Oryzias latipes: one gene and its partner. The protein of the gene in region 1 purifies or fractionates together with the protein of each later gene. This does not show direct contact. Links are inferred from orthologs where the notes say so. Each region holds a gene or a part of one and is shown in the gene's direction. Other genes may lie near its edges.

What was found. Proteins that work in one complex are often made in the same cells at the same time.
Region 2: the proteins of tyrosine-protein phosphatase non-receptor type 18 (region 1) and pstpip2 purify together in Homo sapiens (affinity purification with mass spectrometry; 4 studies listed by BioGRID and IntAct, with this or other methods). This does not show direct contact. The link is inferred for Oryzias latipes from reciprocal best matches to the Homo sapiens genes PTPN18 and PSTPIP2.

Annotation. Positions count from the first base shown.
Region 1 is NC_019865.2:32,087,938-32,092,334, reverse strand, and holds part of tyrosine-protein phosphatase non-receptor type 18, read left to right. Parts: coding exon 1-107; intron 108-892; coding exon 893-1,003; intron 1,004-1,116; coding exon 1,117-1,298; intron 1,299-1,388; coding exon 1,389-1,481; intron 1,482-4,397. UniProt on the Homo sapiens protein: Differentially dephosphorylate autophosphorylated tyrosine kinases which are known to be overexpressed in tumor tissues.
Region 2 is NC_019870.2:8,939,247-8,944,223, forward strand, and holds the start of pstpip2 (proline-serine-threonine phosphatase-interacting protein 2), read left to right. Parts: upstream 1-1,602; 5' UTR 1,603-1,707; coding exon 1,708-1,740; intron 1,741-2,271; coding exon 2,272-2,372; intron 2,373-3,884; coding exon 3,885-3,959; intron 3,960-4,977. Other genes in the region: putative UDP-GlcNAc:betaGal beta-1,3-N-acetylglucosaminyltransferase LOC100288842, read left to right, coding at 1-361. UniProt on the Homo sapiens protein: Binds to F-actin. May be involved in regulation of the actin cytoskeleton.

The DNA of each region.
Region 1 (4,397 bases):
ATGAACGACACATACGCTGTGGTCAACAAACCCAAGAAAAGCCATCCGCCTCCACCCGGCCCCGCCTACCCTCCTGCAGCCACGCCCACACCCAGCACTGCCAGCAGGTAAGGTGACACCTTCACGACAGTTCAGGAGGAAATTCTCAGATTGCTTTCAATTTCCATTTTTATTTGTGATTATTTAACACTTTCTGACTGACAAATGCTAAAGATGAACATTTATTCAGGGTCTGAACTGTTCCACTTCTCTAGATCAGAGTGTTTTTGGAGGATCTGTCTTTTTAGCCCGTCTTTCTACTCAGTAATGACACCGATTCTGCAGTCAGTGAACTGGCTCCGTTCATCCGGGTTACCTTTCTTATCAGCCTGAGCTCCTCGCAGTTTGTTAGGCACTTTAAATGACTGACGGCGTGGAGCAGGGCTGTGATTGGCCGGGTGATGACCAAATCAGTAATTTGATTTGATTTATTGATTTATTTCAAGCATTGCAGTCAAAGCAATAAAGAATTTACACATTTTTATCAAACTAATTACAGAAATGTTGAAATGCATAGATTAAAAAGACTAAAAATAAAACAAAACAAAAAAGTCACTCAAATAACATTTGCTTAATTAAATATAGAAAGTAGAGCTTGAGTTATTGCTTGCAAAGGAGTGTGAAGAAGCAAACTTATATAACCCCACCCCATCAATGAAACTCTTTATCCAAGAAAGAGAGTCACGTAAATGTGAGATGACAGACTTCTTTTGGATGGGGCGTATCCAGCGCCCCCACCCCCACACACTAGTGGCACCCCAGCATTTGCCGAATTGGCCCCTGATTTGTCTGCTGTGCATCTTGTTTCCTGTTTTCCTTGGAGAGTTTTTTAACCACAGCCCTTTTTGGTTAGTGTGACAGTGAACACGCAGAGGGTCAGACTCCGCCCATTGCGAGCTGTGTGTGATGATCACTGCCTCAGTGATGATGCAGCTAGAATGTGGACTCAGCTCCTGTTTGGTTGGTCAGAACTTCCTTATGGACCCTTAAATCTCATTTTCATTTCTTTTTAATGGGATTCCTGTGTCTCTGTGAGAACAGCATCCATTCTCAGTCAATATCTGTTTCTTTTGGAAGGTCGCTGCCCTTCTCCCATCACTATGACAACGACCCCTCAGCAGCATCCACTGCTCCCATCTACAGCACAGTCAAGCCCAGACTGAAGCCACACAGCCTGCCCCCCTCCGCCACACCCATCTACGACATAGCGAAGCCAAGCATTCAGTCGTGGGAGGGGCCGGAGAATCACCTGACACGCGGTGGGTGGGGTGGGGTGAGGTGGGATTCATGCATCTTTCAGGAGCTGGGTAACGTGTAGGATGTGACCGTGTCCCTCTTCTCTCCTGCAGCTGAAAGTGTTTCTTCAGCAGAAGCGGATAATGATTATGAGATCTTCTCCTCCTCAGCAGGAGCAGTGAGCAGCTGTTCACCTGTTGGCCTTGGTGAGAAGACCTGCACACTTCTTTTTACAGCTGTTTCTCCAGCTCCTCCCTGCTGCAGCTCTCTGTGGTTTGGAAAATAACTACTCTGTTCTAAGATTGTCATGGTACCTTTAACCCTTGTGCTATCCTAGGCACTTTGACGTTGGGAGTTGGGTCATCTAGACCCACTAGACAGTGCTCTGAACCTTTTTTCTTCAATGATTTGTGATCTTCACTGGTGTCCATGGATTACATGAAATCTTTCCACCTTTATCCACCTTTGTCATGGGAGGGAGAACACGTCAATGCAAGGATCGGGTCATCTGGACCCCGTAAGATAACAAAAGGGTTAACACTGTCAGGATGTGGGAGAGAGCAGCGTGAACGCGCGGAGGGGGCGTGTCTGCGGCTGTGAATGCGGACCAGTCTATTATGGGATGGAAAGTTCTTGTAAAAAGACAGTCAGTGGTAATCTCGTAGGGGACACATGAACCCAAACTGCAGAGGATGTGGACAGGTAGAGAGGCGGGGGCGGGGCTTCGACTCACCGCTTATGATACCAGACCCACAACAAACTAACAGCTGCTTACTAATAAAAATAGTTGTCATCCATAAATGAATATCATTTATTGGGTTTACTGGAGTTCATGAAAAGTTAAAAAATGTACAAACAGGAGTCTGCATCAAAGTGAATCTGTTTCCACCATCTCCCTCATCTTAACTCTGTGTGTTTGACAGACGGAAAAGTCTCTTCAAGGTTGTGGAAAATGGACAAAAGATCAAAGCAAACAGAAGTGTCCAGTTTAGAAAGAAGAAAAACACTCCAAGGATAAAGGAATGCAGGCGGGGTCCAAAATGAACACTCGCTGGGCGCCAAATACGACCACATTTACTGATAGAGGTGAAAAATCTGGAGCAACATTTGGTTAATGAAGGTTTGCACTTAATCAGACTAGTTTGATTAACCAGACTAGTCTGGTTAATCATCTCATTGGTGGATTTCATCTAAGCTTCTCTGTTCTCACATACAGTCAATGCTTCAGATGCCATCTACACAATCGTTTGTGTTTTTTGTTCAGTTTGATGTGACACTGACGCACAAACAAAGAAGAATATGTCTTTTAGTTTCCATTGATGTTCATTCATAAAGCCGACAGAAAAATGACAGGAAGAATCCAGATCAGAATTCAGATCAAGAAAAACAGAAAAATGTGGGAATTTTTACCAGAAGGAGCCTTCAAAAAGGAAACACAAACTGATGCGTGTTAAGAACTAACTACCGGTACACACTTTCTGTGAATTCAACAACACAAGTATGTTTTACTAATGTTTAATAAAAAAGTAAAATAAATGATCTTGTTTCGCCCAGGGCGTCAAACTAGTCAGGACCACTTCTGAGGACAGTATATGTGGAATGAGGTTGAAGGAGAATAACGAGTGGAAACTTTAGAAACCAGTGAAATGATGCCGTTCACTGGAACACCGGGTTTTCTGCTGTGGCTCCTGTGTTTTCATTTTGTGTTTTCGGATCCAAACGGCTCTTTGAAGGGCAGAGGTTGCCGACCCCTGCTCTGGCCTGATGTCAGAAGTTGGGCAGGAAGCCCTTATTCAGGATTCATCTGACAGTATGTCCCAGAAGTCATTTGAGCTTTCTTTAAGCTGGACTTTAGGAGGCCGCGCAGTTCTGCCTCCTCTGCTGCAGCTGGGGCTGGATGAGAGATGCTGGTGTGTCTGGACATGGTAGCAGCTGCGAAGAGGCTTCAGTTAATCTGCCAACCTGTGTTTCATCTGAACACAAACAGCATGAAGTTTTCAACCAAATCAGACAAATACAAACAGGGACATTAAGTGAATTCTGTTCGCTTCACCAGCTGTTCAGAACACCAAACTAAGTTTAGACAAGGATGCAGACAAGAGGCAGAACGGGTGGGGGTCCATCTGAAGAGAAACATGCTGTTCAACCGGAGAGCAAGGAGAGTACAGAGGATCTGAAAGCCATGAACATGGGTGAGATTTACTTTATCAATAGATTACAGAAGTGGAACTGTCTCGTCAGACACGGATCTCAGCCTGAAAGCTGAGGATCAGCCACAGAATCATCAGACGACGACAGACTAGACTTTGACTGAAGTCGCAAACCGATGATGCAGGAGGGCAGGAGGGAGGACGGGGGAGGAGGGAGCAACAGCCAGTAAGGAGGAAAAACAAATGGTGATGACATTTAGAGAAAAAGCATTGAAGCAGACAAGCTACTGGAGCAAGCTAGCCCCATCTTCCTTTCTTTAGCAGGTGGATCCTCTGAGGGCCGCTTTCCACAGAAGTTTCTGTTTTACACAATAAATAAACCTATTTGCAGCCTGCTAGCAGCATTATTTATTAGTCATGAAATGATGGCTGAGTTCACTCATTTACATTTTCTCATCATTTAAATGTATGGTTTTTATTACCAGGAGGGTGGAGTTAACAAAAGTCTTCCTTAACATTAACCATCCATGCAAACATGTCTATGGAGTTAAACAGTGAAAAACACATTACTGTGTGGAGAGAGAACGCCACAGCAGTCCAACGCCATTATGAACAGGAGGGGAGGAGATTTCACAAAAGTTTCACTGATTTAATTGAATCCAGTCGCAGTCCAACTAGTGAATACAACATCCTAAAGACACGTTTTCACCTGGAACAGCAAACGCATTTGACATTTAGCCAATCCTAGGTTTGACTGTAGAGTTGAGAGGTTTGGGTTAGAAACTGCTCGTTGCTGCTCTGGAGCATGCTCAGATGACCCCAAACACCTCAGAGTCAGTGTGATCCTTCTCCCCAGCTCACCACATTCCAGGTAGCTGTCGACAGGCTAAGCCCCCCTCTCTCTGCCCCCCCCACCACCTCACTTATACATTAAATGTCTTTGGGAATCAAGTCAGTCACTCCTGCTCTGTG
Region 2 (4,977 bases), on another chromosome or scaffold:
GCCCGAATATTGCGATGACACCGCCTATGTGCTGTCCCAAGATGTAGTCCGGAAGGTGTATGTGGCATCTGCATTGGTCCTTGCGCCCGTGTCCGCTGATGTTTTTGTGGGTCTCTGTGCTCGGAAGGCTGGTGTCTCCCCAACCCACAGTGCTAGGTTCCCTGGAGATAAACACATTCATTACAACGCATGCTGCTACCTTTACCTGTTCTGCTCTGCAGGCATGAGGAGCCACGAGTTGGAAAGAATCTGGATGGATCTTGAGCAGAAAGGTGGAAGATGCTCACTTTTAAAGACATATTATGGACTGGTGTACTGTAAAGCTCACACGTACATAGATAAACTCCTTAATCCTCATTGAAAAGAGAAATGGAATCAAGGTGAAAAGGGTCAAAGTTGACTTTAATTTGATGGAACTGTATAATTTGATGGAAGTGTATATCGGTAATTATATTTTTTGTTGTTCTCCTGTGTGTAAAGTTATGTTGTGTAAAAAATTATTCCAATAAGATAGTGTAAATATAAAGTCTTTCTGAAGACATCATTAAAATCAGGATTTCTGATCATATCCATTCATGCCTTGATGGAAACTTACCTGTAATTTGTTTTTAGACAAAATAAACTTTAGGTTTCAGAGAAATCATATTTTTTTTGTCTACAAAGTTTAAATTTGTTCCCTGTTAAAGATTCTGGAACAAATTCATTATTTACAAAAGTTTGAGATCGATAGATCGATAGATCTCAAACTAATGCACTATTGAATAATCTTGGGTCAAAACAGTGTAAACATTGAAGATTTGAACTGAAGATCATTACAGGTGTTTTTTTATCATTTCATCACAAAATCCCTTTTTTTCTATGTTGATTAACAAGGTAGAGGTTAGCTATAAACAATTATTTCAATAAAAGTTCAATATGCAGACATTATCAAGTTTTCTAAAGACTAGACTTTTTTAACCTTTATGTATTTTTGTATTAAGCCTTAAATGAACTCACTTCAAGCCTTGAAGGTTCTTAATTTTGGATTGATTAAAAAAAGGTCTCCTCCTGAAACTTTTATTTTTAATTTTGGTCCCATTTATGATTTTAGAAACTTTATGTGGTTTATTACCATTGAAAATACAAAGCTTTATATGTTCTTAAAAAAAGGCATTCAAATGACGAAGTTGTGATTATAGGTATTATGTACAACTGCTAGTTTTGGAGGCTTTATTTTGTCCTGTTTTAGATGATTCAAGATTTTTAAAACTGCAAATGAATGCTGTTTCAGCATTTGGTACTTTCCCCTTATCCTTAGTTATTGCTGAATTTTCTGCCAGTATCAGTGTTAATAAAACTTTTATTTTATTTCTTTTTTATTAGTTAGTTTTTATGACTGTGTTAAGTTTAACACATTTGCTTTACTTTACATCTCACTCTTTATATTTACCATTTATTTTATTCTACACTGACTTTTATCTAATACATTACACTCTCTTCTACCGGTCCAGTAAATATCTCAGTCAGCCACTAGATGGCAGCTCTGCCAGCAATGAAGAGCTGTCAGGAGGAGTTCCAGTCAGCCCTGTCAAAGTTACTGCGCATGCGCCAGTTAATAGACTGTACAGTTCAGACTTCATGGTTCGTTCACGGCACTAACTAGGAAGGAAATCGCACTCAAAGAGCTTCACGGAGCCTGCGGCGTTGCTCCTCTTGTACATTTCAGTCATGAAGAATCTTCATTTCAAAGATTTCTTCTGGGTGAGTAGTTTGTGTAGCTTTCTAGATAAATTTGGCTAATTTTTTTTTTTTTTTACAATTACAGGGTAATTAAATGCACTTCAGAAGGCTGAAATTCAATTAAGCAGTAATGATCATGTATTTCCTTATCAAGAAATTCTTTATATTTTAAAATTTTGTTTTGAAACGGACATGCTTTAAATTTCTGATGATCAGTTTCAAAGCATCTAATTTATTTAAATACACAGCTGAGACATATACGAAAGACTCAAACTCCAAACCCACTATGGTAAAAAACTGAATAGGCAGCAAAGCATAAAAACTTCATGAGGGAAGTCTTTATGGTTGAGGATGATTACAGGCTGTTAGCCTCAGATGACCCAAATTATAGAGATTAACGGTTCAAAAACACCAATTTTCACCTGGGTCAAATAATCTCATGTGCTTTCCAAACGGGTTTAACCAGTTTAAAAGAGAAGAGGCATCCCTGTAGTGTCTTACTGATAAATATTGATGGAAATAATATTGACATATTTGTTTTGATGCTGACAGAACTTAGATCTGACCTGCACCAACGGCTATGATGCCATAATTCAGTATCTAAACGAAGGCAAAAGGACATGCAAGGAGGTCGAGGACTTCATGAAAGCAAGGTAATGAATACATTAAAATACTTGCATGAAATTGTTATAAATGGTAAATGGCGTAAACTTATATTGTGCTTTTTTTTTACCTTCTTAGAAGGCCTTTAGCATTTTATATTCATAGTCCCATTCACCCATGCACATTCACACACTGGTGGTGGCTCTGCTGCATAAGAACCACCAGGAGCAATGTGGGGTTCAGTGTCTTGGGCAGGTAATGTGGTAACCGAACCTGCAATGTTACAATGAGAGGTTGACCACCCCACCTCTGCACCACAGCCACCCCTGCTAGACTCTCTAGGCTCTGTGTAAAATGAAACTAAACTTAATGTGAGACTAACACAGGAAAAGTGGGGTTTAAGTGATGATAAAAGGAAGAAGAGATGTGAAGTTGTTGTTTGAGAAGTAAATAATCAAGTTTTTAATCTCACAGCAGGGAATTGCTTTTTAACGTGAATAAAATGCATAACTAAAATATATTTAAAATTTTAAGTCACATATTAAAAATGTTTTTTGAAAAAAGGTTATGTAATATAAAAATGTATATCAGTAAAAAGAAATTTCTTCCCTAAATTTAAGCCAACAGCTTTGCAACTAATCAAACTATTAAAGATGATGCTATATTTCAATTCTTTGAGCCTTTTTCTTTTGTTTTTTTACAAAGTATGGACTGTAAAACCTTAGTTTGTCACGTTTTGAGTTTTGCATTTCTTCTTCCTCTTGTAATAATTAACTTTTCACACAAAGACCTGAGTGCATGTCGGCTTATTGTTTATGAATTGGTAGCAACATGTAAATCTGGCAATTGTGTCAGTATATAACTGTGTCATAAACTCTGAAATAAAAAGGAGGATATTATATATCACAACAAAAGTGAAACTTGGTGTTTTGCGACATGGGAGGACATTTTTGCAAACCATCGTGGTGTGCCAAACCGAAAGAAGTGAGAATTACAAAGCACGCTTGAAGTAAAGACATTAATAAAAAGAAAGTTTAAAAAATTAGAAAATTGATTAAAGTTTTGTTGGTGATCATATATGTATAAATATCATTAAAGCAACTATTTACACTGAGTAACTATTTCCTGGTTAAGTGATCTGTTTGTTACTGATGAGCTTTTTTTTTTGTATGAACTTTGTGTATACTAAATCTGAACAAGTACAAATTCAGCTTAAGTCAATATTTTTAGTAGCTCCCAAGCTTAACTCTAGATATTACAGAAAATTAGGCAAAAGCGTTTATAATTTATCATATGTAGCTGCATTTACATACGTTTTATTGTTATTTGCTGCTAGTAGTTTTTTTCCACAGGTTTATTTCTCTCACTAAAAGTACTTTTCTAAAAATAAAAGCACTTTTTTGTTAACCGTTTCCCTCTAAAATGTACCTTCTCTGCACTAAACATTATGTGGAAAAACAAATGCTGATAAAGTGCTGCTTGTCTTCAAGACGTGCATGGAAATCAACGTCCCGGTATCTTCTTTGGGTATAGCCTTTCTTAAGCGCTGCTTTTTCTTTCAGGGCTTCTATTGAAGAGAAGTATGCCAAAGACCTGCTGGGTTTGTCCAAGAAGGTGTGTGGACACAACGAGATGAAGTAAGCGACCCATGTGCAACTGTGTCATTTTTGATCTGCTCTGTTCTCTCGTGTAATGTAGAACACCAAATGTTGGATTGCTTCATCCGTAAGTAGAGTGTCTTGTTCACTCTGTGGTCACGTGACCGGTGTAGTTTTATTTCTCTTGATGGTTTTTAACTTCTTAGAGGAAGGAAGAGTAATTGAGGAAGAAGAGACACTCATTGGTATTAACTTTCTGGGTGGCTTTTCTTGTCGACACTCATACTTGATGCATACTGCAGATGTTGATCAATAAATAGAAGTTACGAGTAAATATTAAAAGAGGCATTATTTCTAGTCGGAAAATTGAAAACAAGTGCAAAAGACACAGTATAAACTCTAGTATACAGTAAGCTATTCTTATTCATTGTTTTTTAACCCTGTAACCATTCGTATCATATTTGATACATTTCTGAGACTATCTCATTAGCAAGATTCAAGCTGTCCTTATGAACTCACTGTATATAACTTATAGAAGGGCTCTTCCTGCTCACTTCAGAATTTCTGTGAAATTTCAGAAACCCTTTTGGTGGGAAAAATGTAGCTACTTTTCAAAACTTTATAAAGAGAGTAACTTTTAAATGACCACTTGCATAACTTCAAGAATGCTAAATTTGTTGATAATTATTTCTTTATAATACAGTTACACAAAAAACTGTGTAGCATCAAATTTAAGACAGGGCAAAAAAGGTGCTTTTTTCCTGATTTGCAGATTTTTGCATCTTAATCTAACATTGTTGTGAGCAAAAACGTACCAAATTACCCAATGTATCAAAATAGGTTATTCATCCGTCCATCCATCCATCCATCCATCCATCCATCCATCCATCCATCCATCCATCCATCCATCCATCCATCCATCCATCCATCCATCCATCCATCCATCCATCCATCCATCCATCCATCCATCCATAGGTTATAAAAATTATACAGCAATATGTTTTTGTGGAGTTTATCCAAAAGTTTAAAAAAATGTGCATTTTCTGTCAATGGTGTA